Linked DNA regions of Mytilus edulis. The protein of the gene in region 1 purifies or fractionates together with the protein of each later gene. This does not show direct contact. Links are inferred from orthologs where the notes say so. Each region holds a gene or a part of one and is shown in the gene's direction. Other genes may lie near its edges. The genes, in order: TAR DNA-binding protein 43-like and cyclin-F-like.

The links.
Region 2: the proteins of TAR DNA-binding protein 43-like (region 1) and cyclin-F-like purify together in Homo sapiens (affinity purification with western blotting; 3 studies listed by BioGRID, with this or other methods). This does not show direct contact. The link is inferred for Mytilus edulis from reciprocal best matches to the Homo sapiens genes TARDBP and CCNF.

The regions. Positions count from the first base shown.
Region 1 is NC_092356.1:48,442,771-48,455,712, reverse strand, and holds the start of TAR DNA-binding protein 43-like, read left to right. Parts: upstream 1-7,160; 5' UTR 7,161-7,315; coding exon 7,316-7,553; intron 7,554-9,710; coding exon 9,711-9,907; intron 9,908-11,732; coding exon 11,733-11,873; intron 11,874-12,942. Other genes in the region: uncharacterized protein, read left to right, coding at 4,919-5,326. UniProt on the Homo sapiens protein: RNA-binding protein that is involved in various steps of RNA biogenesis and processing.
Region 2 is NC_092352.1:40,405,978-40,419,549, reverse strand, and holds the start of cyclin-F-like, read left to right. Parts: upstream 1-8,459; 5' UTR 8,460-8,591; coding exon 8,592-8,616; intron 8,617-8,844; coding exon 8,845-9,014; intron 9,015-9,289; coding exon 9,290-9,396; intron 9,397-9,697; coding exon 9,698-9,765; intron 9,766-10,348; coding exon 10,349-10,539; intron 10,540-10,986; coding exon 10,987-11,142; intron 11,143-11,406; coding exon 11,407-11,636; intron 11,637-11,956; coding exon 11,957-12,121; intron 12,122-12,406; coding exon 12,407-12,711; intron 12,712-12,938; coding exon 12,939-13,026; intron 13,027-13,266; coding exon 13,267-13,366; intron 13,367-13,572. UniProt on the Homo sapiens protein: Substrate recognition component of a SCF (SKP1-CUL1-F-box protein) E3 ubiquitin-protein ligase complex which mediates the ubiquitination and subsequent proteasomal degradation of target proteins.

The DNA.
Region 1 (12,942 bases):
TCAAAATTTTAATATGATTATTTAGTCAAATTGTAAACAAATTATGAGTACTAAAAATCATTGCATTTTTCATGTCCAGTCCAAATACATACTAACATCTATTATAGATGTATAGATATATAGGTGAAAGACCAGAAGAAAGACTTTGCAAATTTTGCACTGCAGACGTGTCAGAAACTGAAACTCATTTTTTACTAGACTGTACATTCTATTCTGATATACGAGAACATGTTTTTGGTGAACTTTTGTTAACGACTTCCTTTGTTTCTATGAACATTAATGAAAAACTTATTTTTTTAAATATTAGCCATACTCGAAAACTAGCCAAATACATTGTACAGGCATATTCTAATAGACGAAATTTTGTTTACAAATAGCTTAATATCTATATATTTTTATTTTAAAATTAATTAAAGGTTAACTTTCGTCAACAAAAAGATAATTTCATGAATTATAATTTGTTATTTTGAAGAACGTGATATATTGTTTTAAAATTACTTAATTTCATTTGAGGTGACTTACAGGTCCATTGGGCCGGGTGTATTAATATTTATCATATATTGTATATTTATAATCTGTACATATTTACACATGTCACTATAATAAATAATTTACTTACTTACTTACTTACTTACTTACTTACTCTATTTATTTTAAACAACATTTTAATTTGGTTTGTGCTAATTAGATAAATTTCCAAATGTATAATTATCTTTTATCATATATATTGCCCTACAGCTATACACAATAGAGTTGATAATTGCAATAAAAACAAACCTTAATTGATCTCCTACCTGTCAATTCAAAGTTGACAAAAATCACAATATTTACAAAAGATTATAATTCAGGGTTAATGAAAAATATCACTTGAATATAACAATAACTATCAAATGTATTTATGTACATCTTTAAATTGTGAATATATGTACAATATCTTGTATTAGGGTCAGAGACATATATGTTTCTGCTAAGGCTAATGATGACTTTTCAACACTGCGAGAGCTTAGTTTTTACTGAATTATACAAATCAATTAACATGCTTAAAGAAGACAAAACTATTTCAACATGTTAAATAATCATTTAATTTGAATACCTACAAGGTTAATTTATCAAACACAGTTTTAGATTTTTTGCATTGTAATCAGAATGTAATCAAAAAGTAATCAGGATTACAGGGTATTTTGAAAAGTAATTGATTAAATTAAATTACATGTAATCAGATTTAGGGCTGATTAATGATTACAATGATTACTTGAAAAATTGTAATCAATAACAGCTGATTAATGATTACAATTACAATTACCCCAACTCTGTTATGATTATGCTATTGTTGACCTCTCAAATTTACTTAAAGTTAAAGTGCAGAAAGGTCACCAAAAGGTCAAATTTAAAAAAAAAATGCAAAAATTCAGTATTTCAAAGTTTTCCCAGGAATAGCGAGGATATTTATTTCAAATTTTGTCTTTTAACTATTTTTTTTAGCTTTATTTACAAAATATGAAGAAGAAAAAAATGTCTCCATGAATTTTATTCATCTTTCAACGTGCAGACAGATGTACTTCTATGTTAAATCTTGCATGCCCATTATTTTGTATCAATTCGCGTTGTTTTCCTTTTTTGTTCCTCTTAATTATGTCCCAGTCACACTAAACCACGATCGCACCACGTTCACCGCGATCAAAAATAAATTCAGATCGTAGTGAGGTCGCGGTATGAGCGGCATGAAAATGTAGATTTTCGTTGTTTTCACGATGCTACTTCGTCCTCATTACGCTTCTTCAACGAGCCCGATACGATTATACCCCGTTCTACATGTTCTAACCATGTTCATTCTGCGACCTCACTACGATTATCACGATCTTACTACGCTCATCACGTTCTCACAGCGACCATACCACGATTTATCCGATTATAACATGATCTTACCACGCTTCTTCTGCGATTATATTACGCTCTTACCACGATCATTCTACGATCTTACCACGTTCATACCGCGATCCAACTACGCTATTAGCAATATGTTCCATATAAATACTGTTCCATTCCTTCCAATTGTCATTAATACGTAAAATTATTGAAAACCACACGAGCATGCCACCAACATCTACAAGGAGTAGTGGGCGTGGTGGTAGGGGTAGTGGTGGAGTCAAAGGGGCCTCTCATACGAACCATGATCCAATAGAGATGTCGGATCAACCAATCGAGACCTGAATCACAACGTATTGCTGATCCATCATTCAAGATCAAATGACGATATTGTATTGAACATTAGTGGGAATGATACAGATGTGTCAAGAATGATTGAATGAGCTGTTGAAAATTAGAGACATAAGGTCCAAATTACATAACAGACAAACAAAACATGGATAGCTGTTATATAGTTTAAGTGAAAATGACTATGAGCATGGCTAGAACTGGAAACGTTCGTAGTATGAACGTAGTCAGGTCGTAAGACGAGCATTGCGGATGAGGACGGCATGAGCGTGCTAAAACCGTACTATGGTCTTGAACAGCGTAGTATATACGTGGTATAGTCGTAGTAGTAGTATATGCGTGGTATAGTCGTAGTAGTAGAAGCGTTGTTGGGTCGCGGGGAGAACTTGATGGTCGTATTGAGGTCGTCGTCACATCGCTGTGAGATCGTAGCGCAATCATCTCTCTGATTAGAATCGCGCTTTCGCTACGCTCCCATCACGATGGTACAGCGACCATTGCGATCTTACTACCACCTTACTGCGCTCTCGCTACGCTTCTACTACAACCCGATTTCACCACGATTGTTTTGAACATGTTCAAAGTTGGCCACGATCATCACGATCATAAAGAGGATAAAGACCTCACCATGACCGTAACACGACCTTACTGCGATCTACATTATCGCACTACGATCGTCAAAATTTGCATTTTTTAGAGATCGTAGTGCGATCGTGGCTAAAGCTAGGTTCTCATTGGCAATCATACCACATCTTCTTTTTTTATATTTACAAATTTATATCTATATGACACTACTGGTCTAACGTCAAAGTACTCAAGTGCATCGAGTACACTTATTGCACCTAGTCAACAAAAAATAGCTGCGGAAATCCTACATTTGTCTAACAGTTCAGTTCAGTTCAGTTGCTTGTATATTCCTTCATTAATTGTGGAGCACTACCCAAAAGGTATAGTTTTAGCAACTATGTACACCTTAAAACATAAGGAAACATTTAATTATATACAGATGACTGAATTTGGTTATAATAATCACTAAATAATAAATATCATAATTAATTCATAGGGTTGTCATCATAAAGTTTAAAAAAAATATATTAAATTCATATGTGCTGGGGTGTAAGAAAACGTTAAGTAACAACTGCATATATTTACAAATAAGAATTAAAATGGTCTCGTATTAAACTTACTTATAATTATTAGTTAAGAGTGCTATACATATATCAGGATCTATAATGAAAATGTCATTTTATAAGATTTATGTAAAATGGTTGGGGTTTGGAAAAAATTAAAGCTATAATATATACATAAATTTTCTTCCCAGTTTGATTTACTATATGGAGATCTTATCATTATTTTTGAAATTATAACTGATATCTTGCAATTTTTAAAAAGAGAAGATATATTTTTAAATACTTATAAGTCATAATTTATTTATCCAAATAAAGCTTCAGGACCAGACAATCTAAAACCAAGAATACTAAAAGAACTTGCAACCGAGATAGCCCAAATTCTAACTATCATCTTTACAACATCACTTTAATACTGGGGAGGTACCATCTGACTGGAAGAACGCCAACGTAAGTCCAGTCTTCAAGAAAGGAGAGAGATACAAGGCAGAGAATTATCGACCAATATCTCTGACATGCATCTGCTATAAACTCATGGAACACATAATAACTAGTCATATTATGAAACATGCAGATATCCACAACATTCTTTATCCATTACAACACGGATTTCGTAGCAAAAGATCATGCGAAACCAAGCTGATTGAATTTGTGGATGACATCACAAAAAACATGAGCGCATGAAAGCAAACGGATGTTCTCATTATGGACTTTTCGAAAGCCTTTGATAAGGTTGGTCACAGTCTCCTGATGCATTAGCTGGAACACTATGGTATCCGAGGAAATGTAAATAAGTGGATCACTAGTTTCCTGTCTAATAGAACCCAAGTAGACAGTAGTTGTGGATGGAGAAAGTTCATCTCGTATTGATGTAGAGTCAGGAGTACCCCAAGGCTCAGTACTTGGGCCTTCATTATTCCTGGTCTACATTAACGACATGGCAGATGGAATTAAATCTACAGTCCGACTATTTGCAGAAAACACAATAGCATACCTCACGATATCATCAGACAAAGATGCACATGATTTACAGCTAGATCTGGACAAACTTGGAACATGGGAATCAAAATGGAAAATGTCATTCCACCCTGACAAATGCAATGTACTTACCATCAGCAGGAAAAACAACACAATTGCAACTTCATACAGCCTACATGGTCAAATTATTGAGTCAGTCAGTAGTGCAAAATACCTAGGCTGCACATTTACCATGTTTACATCCGATCTCAGATGGAATGAACATGTGAATAACATTTGAAACAAGGCAAATCATGCCAAGAAATCCTCGCTAAAAATTCCGGTCGACCCCCTACGGCAGTCATTAGTAGCTAAAGATTTGATTTCATTCAAGAAATTAATGTATAACCTTCATGTACGTGTCGCTAAGAACATGGCCATATACCAAATGGTCAAAATTAATCATCCATGTAATTTGCTCTATGGGGTGTTTGCAGAATTTCAACGGAGGCGCGAACAATTGGTTTCCTAAAAAGAAATTTAAATATAGGATCAACTACAGTGAAGGAGAATGCATATAAAACATTGGTACGTCCAATTGTAGAATATGCCAGTCCGGTATGGGATCCATATATCTCAAGACAGAGACTGACAGACTTGAGATGGTACAAAGAAGAGCAGCTCGCTACGTATCCAACAAACATCATAACCACTCCAGCGTTAATCTGATGCTACAACATCTCAAATGGACATCACTTGAACAAAGAAGGAAAGAAGCGAGACTCACAATGCTATTCAAAATAGAAAACAACAAAGTGGCCATATCAAAGGAAGGTCGTCTAATACCACTGAAAAGACTATCACGAAACATGCATGACAAATCCTTCCAAGTACCAGCAGCATCATGTGATTATAGGAAACACTCATTCTTCCGAAGAACCATCCGGGATTGGAACGCTCTTCCCCCTGGGGTCGTATCAGCTCCGTCAGTCGAGGCCTTTAAAGCCTCGATGACAAAGCTGAATTAAATTTCAAAATTTTTGGGGGAGGGGTGGTCTAATATGCGCACCAAACCATGGCAGTATAATCAGTTCGTTAAATGTGGCCATTATCTGACAGAAGCAGAAGCAGAAGCAGAAGTCATAAAATATTAAGATGATATACTATAAGTAAGGAACTATTTTATTTTAAAAAATTTACTTATACTGTACTTGTGATCAAGTTTTTTTTAATCCTTTTTGTGCGCAGCAAGTGCATCTCATAACACATATTTCTAGCCAGAGTTTCAATGTTTTCATAACAAGTTTTCTTTGAGAGAAACAGTTTGTATTTTTTATGATTTGACATTATGCATGTACACGTCTTTAACCATAGGTACATACATTTTTACATACATGTATATGTAAATATACACAAAATGTTCACAGTATATATGTACACTACAGTATCAACAGATGAAGCATTTACTGGAAAATGCGATGTTCACAAAGTCATCTTTTAAGAATGAGCAAATACAATATTTTCCAAGCATCTATTTCCAGAAAAATAAATATTAAGCCTGGACTAATGTCAAATTGTTCTAAATATATGAAGAAAAATGACAAAACATCTTTTATTCGATTTTAATTGGTGTGAATTTAAGCATGGATGCAATTTAGGTACTCTAGATCTTCGTCACAGAATCATTGATCGCTTATGTTGTAGGTCGATTCAAACTAGTTTTGCTACGATTCAATATCTCGAGTTCAATATATCATATCAGGAACATATAGATATACTGTTCCCAGATCATATATATATATTATTTTTACACCTTATACATTATGTATCAGTATTGTTAAAACTTGTGACACTTGAAGAAGGCCATTTGTTGAGCCGAAATATTTGTCAGCACGATTTAATAACAACATTTTCGTATTATAACATCTTATATCAGTACGGTTGTGCAAATCTTTAGACTGATATATATATATCATGTACTGTAGTACGCCGCTAGATTAAAACTGACGTGGAAAGGTAACACATGCCCACCGAAAGCTCTTTTTTTTGAGAGCCCAGGTGGTCGTGTGGTCTAGCGGGACGGCTGCAGTGCAGGCGATTTGGTGTCACGATATCACAGTAGCATGGGTTCGAATCCCGGCGAGGGAAGAACCAAAAATTTGCGAAAGCAAATTTACAGATCTAACATTGTTGGGTTGATGTTTAGACGAGTTGTATATATATATATATATATAGATTCAAAATTTAAACATGTTATTAAAATGGTGACTGGTGTAATATAAAGTAAATAAGGATATGTCTACCAAATAATAATAATAATAAAAAATCAGATTGGAAACTTTTTTGTGGACTTTAAATAAAAAAATGTAGGTGCAAAAATGTCAAAATAAGGTGCAATTTGAGTACCCTAATGTAATCTAGTATCATAAAGAGTTCAATGAGGTTTTACATTTAAACTCTGTAAAATCAATTAAGTACTAATTAAATAGCAAATAACTTATATCTCAATGAAAAGACTTATATGCAAGAAAAATTAAAATCGACTGTCCAATAAGAAATTAAAACAGGACGCAAACCAAAAGAATTTGTATTGGATATGCGCATGTTTATGCCATACCCTCCCCCTATTCACTGATTTGCAAGAACAAAGCATTACTGTCAATATCTTTTATGTTATTAAAAATGTTAACCACAAATTGTCAACATCTGCACTAATCAAGTATTCATTAAAAGATCTGAAAGTCACAGATTGAGAAGGAATCTTTAGATAGAACTATAGAAAAATTTCTAAAAGATTCCAGCGACAACCGATTGAAGATAAAAGAACGACAACTCTAAAATGAAAATTAAATTTTTTAGGTCACTAAAAGATGGCGCTAGTATCGCTTAAATTGTCAACAGAAGACGCCATCTTGGTACGCCGCGCACCTTCAGTTCGGGACCACAGTGGGTTACCCCAAAATTAGAGACATTTTTGATTCTCAATGCTCCGAAAGTGTGTCTAATTTATAAGGGAAATGAGTCAGTATATTCAAGTCGCAGAGGAGGAGGGCGAAGAGCCTATGGAAGTCCCGAGCGAAGACGACGGAACTCTCTTGCTGTCTACCCTGTCAGCTCAGTTTCCTGGTGCCTGTGGTTTAAAATACAGAAATCCCGATACCGGTGCTATGCGAGGCATAAGACTTTCAGACGGGAGATTATATCCACCTGATACGGAATGGGCAAACCGGATTTATGTTGCCGTGTTTCCTAAATGTAAGTGTTTTCAAATATTGTTTACAAACTGGAACCCAGTTGGCCTCCGAACATCAAGCAGACGCTTCGACAAAATCATTTAATTTTTCGAATTTTTCACAGAATTTTGATTAGTTAAGTATGCAGTATGATGCAGTAATCATTATTGTACATAACTGCATAGGTATTTTTGGCTACAGTATCAATTTATATGCTACTTTTAATAAAATATTGAAGGTCGTTGAAAACTTTGTGTTTGACAGCTAAGGGAGATAACCGTATTGTTGACGTTTTGCTTTTAAATATTTCAGTCTATATCTCTGTGGGATTTTTGTTTCTGGTCTATTTATTTATTCAATATTTTGATATGAATACTTCCTGAGCTAACTTAGTATAAAGGTGACTCCAGAATCCCTTATTTTAGTTAAGCTTTAAAATCATAACATGACAACATAACATCATGAACATATTGAAGACACTTAAAAAAGTAATTTAAGAAGTAAAAAGTTACACACTCATGTAAATGTTGAAATATCTGTATTTAATTTAGGTTAAAGGCAGATATTTAGTGTTAACATGTACATGTAGCTGCTTCTTAGAAGTGTACACTTTTACATCATAATTTCTTGACAGTTTATTCATCATTATTTAAACACTGCAAAAGTTGCTTTCAATACACACAAGGTCACTGGTGCATACCATGTATACATTTATATTTTAATAATTTATATTCAGGTATGAAGGTGGATATTAGAGTGGGTCTCATTGGGGTCTAAGCGTGACCCGGGATTGCCGATTTTTTGTAAGCGTGACACGTGAAAGTCAAATAATTGTGGCGTGAAAACGGGAAATTAGGTCTTGCGGGACACGGGAAATGACAAAAAAATGAGAATTGCTTATGTACATAGTGTAAGCGGGATACGGGAATCTGACAAAACAGTAAGCGGGATCCGGGATCGGAACCCCCCAATGAGACCCCCATTAGACTGCAGATTATTATATCAGAAATGTGTCTTGACCATGTTGACTGCCACTAGTTATTATAGATTATATTTTATAATTATTATTATATACTACATGTACAATGTACATAACAAATGTATAATAAATTTTAATACTGTTTTGTGGGTTCGAGATGTTGAATTTTCAGTACATTAGTAGGGTGATTTTTACCCTCCCACACACATCTCTGGTATCCATTCCAGACCGGAGTTTAAACTAGATTGGATACTTGGGGGGGGGGGGCCTCGGTAGGTCAAAGTTGTTCCCAGCTTGACCTGGAGATCAATCTTCTGAAATCTCTTCAGGTTGTCTGTTGCTGCAGAGAAGCCCTGTGGTTCTCTCCAAATACTTCAGCTTCCTCCACCATAATAACAGACTTTTAGGTGACCTACAAGCTCCCTTGGGTGGTGTTGGGGTGGAGATTGTTCTGGTGGTGGGTTAATAATGTAATCTAAAAGGACACATCTCCATTAATCCTTAGGGAGTGTACATGGATCCGCTGTACCCTTGTAGTCATTCAAGGGGTGCGTCTACACTGGCGGAATCTCGAAGTACATATATACATGTACATGTTATTACCAGATAATTAGAGATATGATTATAGTAGAAAAAGATTTAAAGAATATGATACACATGTATATTAACATGATTTATATAAACAACATTTCAGTGTATATGTTTCGAATATGTTACAAAAACAATGTAGCTTATAGTTTTGTCATATTTTAACATGTGTAAGGTGATAAAAGCATTGATCCTCATTTTATTATTATACAAAAGTCTTGTTATTTGTAAAAATCTAATCACTGTTCAAATTTTGCATTTTCCTGAAAAACTAAGATGTCTCCACAGTCTTTACACCTAACCACTGGCCCAGCAGCCTAGGCTTGTTAAGTTGCATTTGGGTCTTTAAAAATGATCTCTGACTACAGGCCAACTAAACCGATATAAAGTTTTAAAAAGATTGAACTTTGAAGTGTTTGACATGACTGAGATCAATGCAGAGACTCAGAGGTTACTGTATTTTTCTGCCATGTCAATTCTCTGTGACATGGCCGGGATTATTATGCTCTATGTACAATGTATGCAAATAGTAACTGCAACACTTTTCATAGATATCTGTAGGGGTAATGTTTCAAGGTAAAATTGCAAGTAAATATTTTCATGTATTTTCAGCTGAAAACAAAAAGAAACCTCATGCAACAGCTGTGGACCAGGAACCAATCAATGCAGACAATGCTGTCATTAACAGGAAGAAAATGTATGACAAAAAGAGATGCAGTGACCTTATTGTCCTAGGATTACCATGGAAAAGTACAGAAGAAGACCTGAGAAAATATTTTTCAAATTTTGGGGAACTGTTAATGGTCCAGGTTTGTACATTAAGTGTTTAAAACTTATATTCAGAACAGAATACTAGTTAGGTTTTCCTGTCAATTATAAACAATTATCTTAATGTATATTACATGTATGATTGCAGCTTTTTGTGTCTAGCAAGTGAATGAATGATGTGATGGAGAACATTTTTTGTTAAATGAATCGTAAATTAAAGGACCAATTGATGACAGCATCGAGAACAAACACAGCTGATCTCAAGCATTTAATCCTTATATTTGTACATGTACATGTCGCAAATATGAAATTACAAATTAAACCAATCTGCAGGTTTCACTTTGCATACTAACAAATGTATACATTTGTAGATCTTCTAAAATAATCAAGTGTAAAAGTTTAAGGTAGCACAATACAAAGATTTTATAACTCCAACTCCCAAGTTTCAAAATGCTGTAACTTTCTTAATAATGCTTGAAAATTTATAAAAGTGGTAGTTTTGGATAGCTAACAGATTACTCTTTCAAATTAATGCAATGTTAGTATCATGCAACAATTATGTAACCAATTATAATGTTAACTGTGTCTTAAATATTTTTCACCAAATTTCCACTTTCAAATGAAATTAGCTTCTGCATAGGTATCCCTAGAGGGTTGATTTTATTATATGTTGTTCCTATGGCCATTATCTACAAAAGGGTGTCTCAGATTTCAGATAGAATGTATAGAACAAATTTTACACCTACTTAAACATTATCTTCATTTATGTGGTTAGGATGTTTACACTAATTAGAGATTTATGAGAGAATGGAATACCATAGAGACAATCTGAGACACCCTTTTGAAGCCCATGATGTGTTGATTAAGATTTCGTTAAAATTTTCTGTATAGTTAAAGAGATGATAGAGCTAAATTCATTCAAGTGAACTTACCCAGATTTTGCCACTAATTACATAATAATTGATGACATAATGATTGCATAATAAAAATATTGCATTCATTTAAAAGATTAATCTTTTATCTATCTATGTATACCTCTTTTATTATTTTCTATGCATTCATAAGAAAGTTACAGCATTTCAAAGGTTAGTGATTGGAAGTAAAAAAATCTTTGTATTGTGCTACCTTAATTCAGGATAAAATAATATACAGATATATACATTGTATGTCATGTACATGTATGTTTATTGTCTGAAAATATTAAAAATTGTACACTAGCTACATTGTATAAAACAACAGAAACGCTTGGAGAGCTTTGTTTTTCGTTCCGTTCCTTGTATATTTACATGCTAGTAGGACAAACTTTACTATATTTGATAAATAACATGTTCTGTATAGATTTTATTATTTAATTATATTATTACCGGTATGAGCATAATGAGAGATTATACTTGTGTTTATGATATCAAAACATTAAAAAGCATGAACAAGTTATTCCGTGAAAGTTAAGTTTTGTAGTACATGTATCATAGTATGTACACATGAATACCATTATTGACTTGTCTAGTAAAACATCTTTTTGGTTATGTCAAAAAGTTTGATGCAGTTGAGTTCATTTCCACAATGATAAAGCTTCTTTGAACAAGGGAGATAATAGAGTTATTGTAACAAGGGAGATAACTCTTGATCTTTCTGTGTTTTTAAAGCATTAGAAATCTGTCATATATTCCTCTTCAGGCGGCAGACAGCAAAAAACTTACACTGTATAACGGTACTTAAATTTCCAAAATATTTAGACATTTATGTGTATGTGGAACATAACAGATGCAAATAATGTGTAAGCTTCCCCCTAAAACAGAAATCAAAATTCATTATATATTTTACAATTCATTGTATTAATCTATCTATATTTTATTTTCAATTCAGGTGAAGAAAGATCCTAAAAGTGGACTATCTAAAGGTTTTGGTTTCATTCGGTTTGGCGACTATGAATCCCAAGTTAAATGTATGACACAGAGGCACATGATTGATGGAAGATGGTGTGATGTTAGAATACCAAACTCTAAGGTAACACATACATGCACTGACACTGGTGTGATGTTAGAATACCAAACTCTAAGGTAACACATACATGCACTGACACTGGTGTGATGTTACATGTAGAATACCAAACTCTAAGGTAACACATACATGCACTGACACTGGTGTGATGTTAGAATACCAAACTGTAAGGTAACACATACATGCACTGACACTGGTGTGATGTTAGAATACCAAACTCCAAGGTAACACATACATGCACTTACACTGGTGTGATGGTTCTGTGCTTATTTCTAGGAATGATAAAGTTTAATAATGGCATGCTGTGAGTTAAATATGTGGAAATGTATATCTAAATACTGGTGTTTTAATCAAGATATATTTAATCAACAAATATTAATTCTATTGAAATTGGTCACGTCTATTTCAGTTGGTTTTGTTTGATAACTTGATAACTATATCTAAGTAACCATCTGTAACAAAATCCAAACTAAGAATTCAACATAAATAATGTATCAATAAAGCATTTAGAACTTTATTTGTTTACTTGTAGTGTTCATATAAAAAAAAAAAGGAAAAACTTGATTGCGTCAAGAAATTTCCTACTTTGTATTAATTTGGAAAATCTTTATTATCTCCCTTTAACAACATGTAAGAAAAAAATGCTACTATCATATAAAATTTATTCAATGTAGATTTTCATTTGAAATTTGAAAAATTAAAGGACTGTGCTTACATTGCACATCAGAAGTCTTCTTGCGAAAAGTTATCTGACTTATTTCATCTGCAAATACTATTCGGAAGACAGCAAATTTTGAGCACTTTTTGTAAGAATTTTAAAGTCCAAGGTACAATGTAGAACCAAAACAATTAGAGAATCTGATTCCTGATAGGTTTTGTGAAAAATAGTTTATTGCAGAGTACTCTGATAATAAAATGCATTCATATTAGCCTGATTAGATAAATTAATAGTCATGATATTATTAAGAAAGAATGGCCAACACTAGTAGCATGAAAATAACACAGGATTCATCTTTTACATGCATATGACAGTTGCTGAACTGAGATAGCTACACTTTAATGAAAAACGTTGTTT
Region 2 (13,572 bases), on another chromosome or scaffold:
ATAAACTACAAAAAGTATTTACCTCCGGAGAAATGCCTATTATTGCTGCTTTAATTTTAACTGAACTTATAATCCAAGCAATAAAGACAAAATCACCACTATATGTGGCTTTAATGGATGCAAGGAAAGCTTTTGACATTCTTTGGCATACGTTGGCCTGATGAGAGAAATGCACAAGTTTGGTTACACCGGGGACAATTGGTTAATCTTTAAAAGATGGTATGAAAATCTTAAATCAAAAATTAAATTTAAATGGTTGCTTTCAAATTCAATAGAGGAACAACAAGGTGTAAGACAAGGCCGCGCGATATCTGGACAGCCTATAAGATTTTTATAATTCACTTTTACAAACTTTTTAAAGAAATCAATTAGGAGCATGTATATATATAGCATTGAACAAGCGTATTACTACTGCAAGGAAAACTGTATACTCTCTCGTGGGTACGGGGTTACACGGTTTGAATAGAGTCAATCCAAAAGTTTCTGTACACTTGATACAAATATATGTTATACCTAGACTTCTATACGGTTTAGATGTCATATCGCTCTCAAATACAGATATAAAAAAGATGGAATTATTCTTTAGACAATTATTAAAGCAAATTCAGCACTTTCCTAAACGTACAACAATAGCTGCAACTTTACTATTATTAGGGCGTATTCCTATAGAGGGAGAAATTCATTAGAAAATTCTCAAAGCATTTGGAAATATAATTAGAAATGATAAGTCCGTTGAAAGAGAAATTGCTTTTAGACAATAGACAAATGTTGGCATGATACGGGTTATATTCCTCCCATATATGTTATGATGCCTCTAACGAGATGGGTTGTATTTGATATCCATATGATGTCGAAGACATAATCTTTCAATCAGTTTAATTGAGGTTTGGAGCTGGCATGTCAGTAACTGCTAGTAGTCCTTTGTTAATTTATGTATCATTGTCATTTTGTTTAGATTCTTTTGTTATATATTCTGACATCGGACTCGGACCTCTTTTGAGCTGAGTTTTCAAGTACTGTGCGTGTTGTTGTGTGTTTGTTTTTTTCTACATTGGCCAGAGGTCACAGAGGAGGGTTGAAATCTCAAAAACATGTTTAACCCCGCCGCATTTTTGCGCCTGACCCAAGTCAGGAGCCTTTGGCCTTTGTTAGTCTATGATCTATGATTTTTATGATTTTTTATATTATAGTTTCTTGTGTATATTTCGGAATTTAGTATGAGACTAGACGTCCATTATCACTGAACTAGTATACATTTTTGTGTAGGTTCTTAACTGGCCACCCGCTGATTGATACTTCGGCACAATAGACAAGATTGAAACAACAGCAGGGTCCAGTTTATTTAGGTTCCAGCTTAAGCACGCCTCCGGTTGCGGGAGTTTTTCGCTGCATTGAAGACCAATTGGTGGCCTTCGGCTGTTGTTTGCTCTTTGGTCTGGTTGTTATCTCTTTGACACATTCCCCATTTCCAAAAAAAGAAGAGAATAATGGGATAAAAATATAAAGAAGAATAGAGAAAAGTGGCATAAAAATAGAGAATACAGAAATTAAGGACCCTATCCCTCGTGTATACTTTGTCTCTATTTTTTTAATGTCACTTCAAAACAATAAAATGTGAAGTCCATTTATGATTGGTATTTAAAAAAGCATATGTAAACAGGCACTTGTCTTCGACAAAATGAAGATATGTATGTTCGCTGGTTCACTGTCCTTTTGGTTAAAATTGCGACAAGCTATAACTATATATATATCTTTATTCTCAATAAAACATATACATAGATATAGAGAAGACAGTCAAATACTCAATTATGTACAATATTTACCACAAGACAGAACAAACAAAACAGTTGCTAATTAAGACAATATATAAACTTTTATATGTTTTGGAGTTCTTTTGTCATGACAATTGTTTTAAAATCAGACCTTAACCCATTCAGTAATATATGGTCAGATATATTTCTATGAGTTTTAACAACTTTGATAAATTAAGTCCCTCTTGATGAATTTGTAATATTGTAAGGTGTAAATATATATATATATATAACAAACGTTGCTATTCTTTGAATCTTTCTTTGAAAACAGATCATGCAATTCGTCAAAATTAGTTAAAAAGTGACATACTTAATTCTGACATGGTGTCCTAAATGGAAAGGGGATGACTCGGCAGTCTTTTGTTTTGACAATTCCACGACATAACATGAACAATATTGCTTTTAATCATTTCAACATGTTTCAGGATTTTGCGAATTGTCGCCTATAAATTTCTCAATCTTTAAGATAGATGTTCAGCATGGGAAGGTATTATTGTCCAACCTGCTGAAATTACTGATGATATGGTTGGGACTGCTGCTGTTGGTGCAGATGTTATCGAAACTGCTGATGTAGATGTAGCTGGAACGGTTGTTGCTGCTGCTGTCCCAACTGTTACTGCTGTCGTTGTAGTTGATACAGCTTTGGCTGAAAGGTGAGACGGTGTCTGTAAAGGAGGCAGCGGGAGTGTATTAACTGCCAACGGAGTACCAGTATTTGAAAGAGATGGTGGCGCTGGTCCAGTTGTTGTTGGTCCTTTTGAATTAACCAGCAAGGTGTGCGGAATTTTCGATCGATCAACTTTTGTTGGCTGTAAAGTTCTCGACACAACAGGCGGTCAACTGGTTGTTGATTGGTATACAGATCCAGTTGGTTGGTAAAAAACAGACTGAAAGTTAATTTGCGGTGGAACTGTCCACGGTTCCTGCACACACGGTATAGTTGTATCCTCGATTTCAGGTGGCTTTTGTTGAAATTTTAGGTTAACGATCTGGCCTTCAGGTAAAATGTTCAACTGATAAAATGCTGTATCTTTTTTTATGCTGTACCTCCTTACTGTAATTCAGAGGTGTAAAAATTTTTCCAGGCTTTGTTGATGTTCCTGTCACTTTAAACATCCTCACACTGTTCTATTGTGACAACTATTATCGTAGCGTGAAACTCTAGCTATCGTATTGACTTATACCATGCACAATAAAGGAGGAAGCAAACTCACAATCAATTGAAGAAAGGCTGGAATCAGCAACAGGAAAATCTAGAATACAATAGGTGTTGAAATATTGAAATTTTGTTGATATGTTTGTAATATAGCATGGTCTGCTTATTGTTCTTTTCTCTCATCTCTCTACCCAACTATAATTTGTAGTAATGATATTGATACCACTCAACGTTTAATAAAAGTGTCCAACCTAGTTTGAGATTTTTATCAATTATTTTGTCACAAAAAGAAGAAACACAAAAATACTGAACTCCTTGAAAATTCAAAAAGGAAAGTCCCAAATCAATGGCAAAATCAATAGCTCTTTTACATCAAACGAATGGATAACAACTGTCATATTCCTGACTTGGTACAGGCATTTTCTTATGTAGAAAATGGTGGATTGAACCTGGTTTTAAAGTAGCTAAACCTCTCACTTCTATGACAATCGCATCAAATTCCATTACAATAGAGTACAGCTTGTTTTCTGTCTCTTGGGAACTTTTGGATCCAAATTCATGTGTTAATAGACTGTGTTCAACACTTTATCAAATGCTTTGCTGAAATCTATCTGCGTGTTGATAAAGTTTTTATCAAATTTCAGGTCTTTTGTTTGATCAGAGACATATAATATCTTTAAACGTCACGGTATCTTGTTTTATGTTGATTCAAAAATGCTCCTTGCTAGTGCCTTAAAGTTTGTGATCGATCTGTTGTGTTGTTACTATACTCTCTATATATTTCCAGTAAGCTCGTCGCAGTTTCTCAACGTGTCTTTTTTTCTGTGGTGGTGATATGCAAGTAAGAATGCTGAGACAGGGAACATTATAATAGTATCCTTATGAATAATGAAGGTTCACCTGTTTTCCTGTATCAGTAAAATAATATAGAAGCCTTTAGATAATTTCCTTGCTTCGAATAAAATAAGTGAAAAAAAATCCAAGGAATGGAATATACCATATGAAAACCATGTGTAGATATAAGTTTTGTTAATACTAAGACCTTAATTCTGAACTAATGAAGTCAACCGATTAGTCAAGTCAAGGATTTGTATAGTAAACAATACTATACAAATCCTTGGTCAAGTAGACATTTATCTATCTGTGCTCTGCGTTCAAGTCATAAGAACAAATTAGAGTTATCGCTCTTGGTACAAATACTGTCAATTCTAAATCAAACACAAATAACCAATATACGCATGTAACTTGAACAAAATTAAATGTTTTTAAAATGTGTGACTTCATGACAACATGCTTACTCCTTATAAGCATTTAATAATTGTTCTTAAAAATGAAGACACCTAATAATTCATAAAAAACCGTACATGTAAAATACAATACATTTATATCGTTTGCTATTATGAAAAAGAAGATGTGGTATGATTGCCAACGAGACTACTCATTCAAAAAGATCAAATGACACAGAAATTATCAACTACAGGTCACTGTACGGCCTTGAACAATGAGCAAAGCCTATACCGCATAGTATTTCAGAAAGGGTCCAGCAATGAAAAATGACAAAAACAATTCAAACGAGAAAACTAAGGGCCTAATTAATGTACAAAAAATGAACGAAAAACAAATATGCAACATAGCAACAAACGACAATCACTGAATTACAGGCTCCTTCTTTTGAATGGTTATTCAGTATTTATACATCTCACGTCTTTAGTGCCTGGCGTTCGTTCTAGACGTTATGCATTTTACAAACAAAAAATGCAAATAAAAAACATACTGCTTCTTCTTTCCGAAATTTTTAAAATGAAGTGTACTAGTTTAAGTAAAGTTATATTATCAACTAAAAAATATTAACTGTAATATTTTATCTCATTTATGCCTTGTCTCTTTTTTCTTTAACCCACCATGTTTGTCTCCTGGAAGCCTGCTACTTTCCTATGCAAACGGTCGTAATTTAATTCCGGACGGTTAAAGTTATAGACTTGAAAATTGTGGATATCTGCTGCTACTCCCCTAAGCACAGACGGCACTAAGAGCAAAGACGTGTCTGATCGCAGGGTCAGAACTGTGTGTCTGGGCAGAGTAATAAGATGTCTTCCTGTGAACTTCACCTATAGTTACTTATAGCACGTTAAACACAGAGTCATGGTCGCCATGTCGGTTATGTACAAAGCGGGGTTCATATCTATGTCACATTACTATAAGATGTTCTCGATCTGATATATATAAGTAATCGGTTTTTAAAAGTGTATTGTTTAAACCTATTTAGTATACCGATTACAATTAAGCGTTGTCTTGACTTAAAGCAGTGTCTTGGTTTGTCCGAGATAACTCGCCATTGCAAGACGATCATCGATGTATTCTTTAATTTAATATTTTGAAGCTTTCAAAAGACAACAAGGATATTGTTGTTAGTTGTACCGTTACAACCCCTTTTCTTCATATCTTACATGTCATTAAATTGATAGTGACTATTTAAACTGTGAAGAACATAGTCAATGATTGATAGTTTATCTTAAGGGTATGTCCTTGTTCTTATCATTTAATCCATGATAATCATTTTGACATGGTTTTATTTTTAAAGTGATTATAAATATTATTACTTTAAATTATGATTATGTATGTCAGTGTCATTATGATGTGTTAAAACAACAAATCCGTAAAAAAAAAACATGTGACGAAAAATTGCTGTAAATTTTTTTTATATATATTTTTTTTTATTGTTTATAAAAACTTTTAGTAAGGCATTTTTATAACCCACTTTCTAATGTCTGTTTTATACTATATTTGTTTGTATTGCTGTATCTTTTATTGTCGAGTGATCCTTGACCAAATTTAATCTTTGATATTATAATAATCAAATTACAATGGCACGCGTGTCATCATCATGAGTCGAATGCAATTAACAAGTCTGATAAACTCAATAAATGGTGATGATGTTAATTGTGATAATTAACAACTAAACTGACATATTGGTTTATTATATTCTTTATTACATACTCAGCTATATAATATGTTTTTTCGGAGATGTGCTAAATATGTGACCATTATATTAGTATGACAGTCCAAGGACAGTCTATTGCGAAATAGTGTGAAATGACCAAATTATTGTAAAATTCGTGAAGATAAGTGTTGCATTAACCATTTTTATAAATCTTGGACGCCAATAAATATAGTTACGTATTGTCAAAATTATAGTTTCAATTGACGATATGCACAAAGAGATCTAAATTTTTGAACAAAATAAATTGAATTTTAACAGCTAGTGAAAACAAAAGAACTTCAACGTTCAATTTCATTAATGCAATTACTATTAAACTGATCATCAAATTAATGAACTAACTGATCTCACTGCATGCACATATTGATATAATTAACCTGGCCAATGGTCAACAAATCAATTAATTACACTGATGTAGTGTGAAAATCTCTGCAGTGTCCACGACAGGATCAGACACGGCACAGTATGGCCGTAATCACCAATTAATCTTTTCCTTTGAAGTAGACCAACATAGTCCTGAACCCAATTCACTCAATTTGATGATGATTCAAGTACTATATTCAATACATCTTATTCCTTATATATATATTAAATTTTAAAATTATTTTCATCATATTTCAAAGATCTTAACATCAGAATCAGATCACAAATAGAAGACAAACATGGGTAATTTATTTTCCAATCGTAAGTGTTTGGTTTGACACATTTATTTTTGCCGCTACCCGAAGGCAGTCGTTGATTGCTGTTAAAACATTATTTGATCATACATTTACAATATAGAATTACAGTTATTGAACTGACCCTAAGGGAAAGACGGATTTATACACGTTTCACACAAATGAAATCTGCTGACATATTATGTAATTATGGACAGTTACATATGTTCCGTTAAGACTGAAAATCCTTGGACTGACCAGTATATCTTCCGTTAACTTGCCACCAATAACATATGTCTAAATCTGCGTCCTTATATTTTAAATTCAACGATGAAAATAACAAACGAATTTTTATTTCAATATTAAAAATATATATATGACGTTATAAAGATAATAATTTCATTTTCACATAAATATCAGATATCTTCTAACTTGATGTAGCCCATTACGAATTTTCTTTGATTCTCAACAACAAGTAAATAATTGTTAATGTCTAAATTCTCTTCTTTTTTTAAATGACCCCCCTTAAATTGTAGTTTAAAAATTATCTGATTCCCGATTGTGACCTATTTAAAAAAATAATAAAGCATCTTTTCTTTATCACCATCAGGGATTTCAATGTCAATATACATTTTTCATATAAAGAATTAAATTCTTAGAACAAATTATGAGTAAATTGCAATAAAAAGATTTAATTCGACTGTATGCGATGAGGATGCTGTTGTGTACACACGTGTCCAATTTTTAAATATTTGAATGAACATCACAAAGGCGGGGAAAGCCCATTTCCTCTCGTTTGTAAACGAGTGTAACAATTTTGACCAATCAGCGTCGAGTATATTCGGATTGTTGGTGTTTAATTTTGACAAGATAGGGTGCATCACTTTTTCGGAGTTTAAACTTTTGGATAACGTATTTATGCCTAAATTTATGAAATTTATAGCAATTCAGAGTAATGAAAGGTAAGTTACATGTTCAATAAAAAATGCCATTTATAAAAATTAAAGAAAAGAAAGTGAAAGGTCATAACAGGGCAAATATTATGGGCGGTTTAAATTTTTGAAAGTTTGTCAATGGAAAGTAATAACAACATAAGAAAATAGATCTTTTTGGAAAAGAAGAGTTAAATGTGCTATTCAATAACGGTTTCTTCAAGGCGTGTTTCAAAAATTAATTTTGTTATAAACGATGTTACTGAAAATGCATCATAACATTTGAACTCTACAACTTTCACGATAAAAATAATAAAATCCATTTTTTTCGGGTAATGAAAATGTTTCTTCGTATCCATATAATGATATATAAAGATTTAAGTAATCACAATAGTCCATCAAAGACGAGTGCATTCTGTTTACTCATCAAGCAGTCAAATGCAGGAAGGGTCCAGCTTGTGATCCAAATTTGAGTAGGCTTATCGTAAATTTAAATGGTAAACAAAGTGATTGACGGTCATTGTAACATACTTGACGTGCCATTTGCAAGAATATAGAATGTTAAGTGACGAAAACTTGTGAACTGACATCCACTGGCTCCAGTCCAGTCGAACTGTCGAAGACAAAATGATAAACATGTTTGATATTCATCGAACAATTTTATTGTTTTATTGATTTCTTGTTATCACATGTATCAAACACTTTTACCTATCTAATTATTAGTTGATAACAGGTGTATACGACGATGAATATGTTCAGACTTGTGCTAAATAAATTATGAATAGCATTCATTAGTGTCATTGAAACACGTTTATTTTCAAATCGCTCATTGGTTATCGACCTTTGCAAGTGCCGGCTTGTTTACATTGACAACCAATCAAAAGCGGGGACACCCTGCTTGTTACTAAAAATAAATGGTAGGTTCACGGTATCGATGTTTCAATGACAAAAATAAACTTTCAACATTCATGATAATTTTGCATAACTTATACTTGATGTGGATCTTATTTGAACTTTATCATAACTGACATTCCTTATATGAAAACCATGTTTGTAAAAATTCGTAAGTACTTTTATAATTCATAATCAAAATATAGCAACATTGTAAAATTATGAAAATGCATCAAATGTTTACTGTACATTTGTAATTCAAGTGCTAAAATTAAATTTTAAAGTTTTAGAATTCTATGAATGTTTATTTTTTACAGCAAAATCACTTAATACTTAAATTACATGCATGCATATTTCCCGTTGTAACCAATTTACATGTATGCTCATTATTTTTTTACAGTTCTAAATGCACTCAGCAAATTTCAAAAGTCTCCAAACACATTTATCCCAGTCCACATGCATCTTCGTCCAAGAACACGGAGTCAGATGACAATATGGAATTTACCTGAAGAACTTTTGCTGTATATTATTAAAGGATTACACATCAGAGATGTTCTTAATTTGAGAGCTGTAAGTAAAGTATATTTTTATAATATTGTGATTTAATTTTATGTACAACAACAAATAGTCTGCTTCATCTCAGATACATGTCACAAAACTTTAGTTAGTTAAGAGTTAGTTTAAATTTTCAAAATATTTTTATTATTTATTTTTCAATTTCATATCATTTTGTAAGAATGCATAGAATTTTGCTTACATTGACTCAATATTTATGTATTAATTCACATAAAACAAATAATAACAATTTAAGTAGTTCTGAAATAACTAGTGTTTTCTTTCCCCAGGTTCACCCATACTTTAAAGATTTAATAGAAAACAGTTCTGTGATCTGGAATTCCACAAGTTTTCAAGATGAATGGCCGTCACTGAAAAACATTCCACATTTTGAGAAGTAAGTATCATTGAACTAGTTTATAATTTGAGTACAAACACTGCATCAGCAACTGTCATGATGAAGACTTGCAATGCAATGAGTTATTTTTACACCTACACATGATGATGTTGTTTCATTCCCCTATACTCTGGTTGAAATGACAGAGTATGCATATGAATACACATTTCAAGATATATGTAACATAGATTAATAGAAAGAAATTTTGATGTTTCAAGTTCATAATTTAGTTTTATTCTATTAAAATTATTATGCTGTAGTGATTCACTGTATATATATTAAACCCTCGTTTCTTTTTCAGAGCTGGAGATTTGGGAAATCTTGAAGCATTGATCAAAATGGCCATTGCCTACCTCTATAATGAAGGATGTAAGTAGACCTTTTTATCACAAAGTTATTTATATATTTGTCCTTTTTGTTTACGCAGGACATGGGGTGTGAAATGAACATGTAAATTTGTCTTCCCTTTGTTGATTTTATATATAAAGGTGTTAATTTCTTCTGACAAAAACTTGTACAATGTATGACGTAAAATAGCAGGTTCATTTATATTTTTTTGTTATAACAAACAGAGTTTTGACAAAAGAAAATGAACAGATGAAAAGAAAATGTAACTTAAATCAATTAAACAAACAATTCATGATTAGATTAAAAAAGAAAAGCAATATGGTAGAGCTGTTTTTATGTACAAGCTATAATTAAGAAATATGCACATAGGGTTTGAAAAACTAAATAAATAAATATTATAGTTTAGGTTAAAGACAATCAACACATAATTTTTAGTTTTGCCTCATCTATTTCCTCTGACCAAAAATACCATACCGGTCTGTTCTGGTTTCTGAAACAATTCCAAATCAAGAAAACAAATTAATTTTTTTGTGTGCTAATAGTAAAAGATAATGAAATAATACTTTGAAAGCTTAATTATATATGATTTAATTTTTTGTTTCAGTACCTACCGATTTGGAAGGAAAGAAGACCATCAACAATGGAGAGAAGGCAGCAGATATATTTTGTAGAATTGAAGGACTAAGTCCAAACACAGATCCTTTTACATGGCTGTTTATACGACCGCCATGGTCTGTTAATGGTGCTTGCTGCAAAGAATGTGTCTTCAAATACATGAAAGATTTTATTAAAACGGTAAGGAATGATAATACCAGCAGCGCATTACTAAAAAAAAATCTTGCGACCAAAATTGACCAGAGGATTAACTGAAATTTTCATGACAATGGTCTGAGATGTTTACAGTTTCATGACATAAGGTTTAATTATTGTGAAACACCTTTCAAACCATTTTTAAGTATGGGGAAAAGTATGATGGACATTTTAAACATATAATCAGCTTGCTTTAATTTTGGAAAATCTGATTTTTTGCATTTTATTTTTCTTGAGTTAATGACACAAAAGGGGAAATAAGTCAAATATGAATGAATGTTGATTTACGATAATTGTCAATGAGGTAGTATCTTTCTACAAAATTATTGTTGTAAAACATTTATTTTATCAGCACTGAATGTGCCTTTTGAATATAAATCAAATGACACAATTGAATCAATAACCTTTAACATTGAATATTGATTATTTCAGACAAAAGACAAAAATATCCATGTATGTGTAGCTAGGACATTAATGTTACTGGAATCAGAAGATAAAACAGAGATATTCCAGTATCTGAAGGATGGCGCTGAACTTGGATCAGGCGTGGCAGCATTTATGTTCTGGCAACAGAAATATGATAAAATGGTAAATACAAACAAAGACTTAGAGAAATCAAAATGAACATTACTTCTTACAGTCCGTCAATTGAATTGTAAAATGATATTTATGCTGAAATATATTTCATTAAAAAAAATGAAAAAACTGTAAATGATCAGAATGAAAATCCCATGAACTTGATTTTGAGTTAATGATTTATTATCTCTTTTCAAAAGTTTTAAAAAGAATGCATACTTTTTTATTTATTATTTTTCTATGATGATTTTTATCTATCTTGATTTTAATTCATAGGTAATGGACAAAGGAACAGAATTAACAAGTATACGAGAACTGAGGGATTTGACTTCTTTAGGCTATCTTGAAGCTAAACTGACTCTCTGTAAATTCTACGCACATGGGAAATATGGAGGTTTATCTCAACACCAGGCAGCTATCTTTGTAAAAGATTTGGTACAGACAACATCACCAACAAACACACAAGACTGCTTTCAAACCTCACAGGAATTAACACAATCTATGAGGTAAGAATAATAATTCAGGAAATTTGGTTATTCTTGTTTTTAAATGTGATTATAATTGCTTGGTGTATGGTCTGTAAATTCATGAAATTAAAGCATCCAACACTGTATGAATAAAAAAAAAAAAAAAAAAATACTACATCATCACATCATAGTATCATTTAAACTGTATTTATCTTTAATGTAATTTTAAATTAGCGTATCAAAACAACAATATTAGAAATATAATATATTTATCCTAGAACTTGATTTTCACATTGAAATATAATATTCATGTATAAATTCCCTATTAACGTGTTTTTTTTTTCTTTCAATTATTTCAGATACATTCTTGTTGACTGGTTAGTAGAAGTAGCAGGGATGAAAGATTTCTCTAGTCATACACTCCATGTAGCCGTTAGTATGGTGGATAGATTTTTAAAAGTTCACAAAACATCTCGATCCAAACTGCAATTATTAGGTGTTGCTGCTATGCTTCTTTGTTCAAGGTGAGTAATATTTTTTAAGTCAATGCATAGAACATAAAAATGTTGTTTTTTGTGTCGTTCTAAGGAAGGTAACCATACATTTTGACGTCTTTGATGTTGCTGATGATAATATATAAACCTTCAATAGAAGTTGGTTAATTGACTTTCTAATTGAACAAGTTAAAATTGAAATAAAACAAACATGAATTGAAAATGATGTATTTTTTTATGGTTTCAATAATTTAAGGTCACAAAATAGAAAACCCCATTGATATATGAAATTAATGTTTAAATTTATTTTTTCAGATATTTAGGCAAAGACATTATCACAATTAGAGAGGCAGCATGGCTGACAGACAGTACATACAAATATGAAGATATTGTCAGAATGATGGGCGAGATAGCTGCTACCTTGAAGGGCAACATTAGGACAATCACTAGCATTGATTTAGTTGAGATATTCTGTATACTCTGTGATCTGGATAAGAAGTCATGTTACTTAGCTGAATACATCTGTGAACTTTGCCTTCTTCAGGCTGAGATGGGACAATATAGCCCTGCAGAGATTGCTGCAAGTTGTGTGTTGTTAGCTCGTGTCTTAATGAAGCATGGTATGTATTAACAAGATGCTTATGATTCATAAATACTTTGTTTGTTAATCCTAAGACATTTTTTTTTCAAATATAAATAAATCGAAATTTGAAGAAATGAGTGTGAGGAAGGGAAAACATCTATTAATTTTATTAGTATTTAAGACAGAGATCTGAAAAGTTGCAATTTATTTTAGAGTTATCTCCCTTATACTGTTATAAAAAGTTTATTATTTATTTATTTTCAGAAAATGCTTGGCCATCAAAGATGAGTTTATTTACAGGATATAAGATAGAAGATATAAGTAGATGTGCATTCCATCTTCATGAAAAGTGGTAAGTTTTATTTTTGCTATCAGAACTTTAATTTTTGTTTATGTTTTTTCTAGAAGATTGTCAATTTTTTTCAAAAAATATTTTGTGTTTAAAACTTTTGAATCCACAAATATATTGTACTTGAATTTAATAATGAAATCAAAACGTTATGCTTTGAAAGCATTGTCTGTGTAACTATAACATTATGTTAGTTGAAGATGGAGAAAAGTCATTGATATGCTCATTTTGTTACAATTTCAGCTTTTTGGAAGGATCAGTTGTGGATCATAGAGATGTCAAACTACAGTCTGTTAAACTTAGATATGCTGAAGAAAAGTTCTACAAAGTCAGTGAAATACAGGTAAGACTTGACTATCATGTGTTAGTTTATAATGTACTACGGGTTACACAGAATAAATATAGGTACGTTTTACAAGACAAAGACAACACATTGGTATACACAGTTTGTCAAATGAAGTAAATTACATTTCACTTTATCAAATGAGCTTCAACAATAGCATTCATGAAAAATGTTTTCTAAAACATACAAAAACAATATTTGCTAAT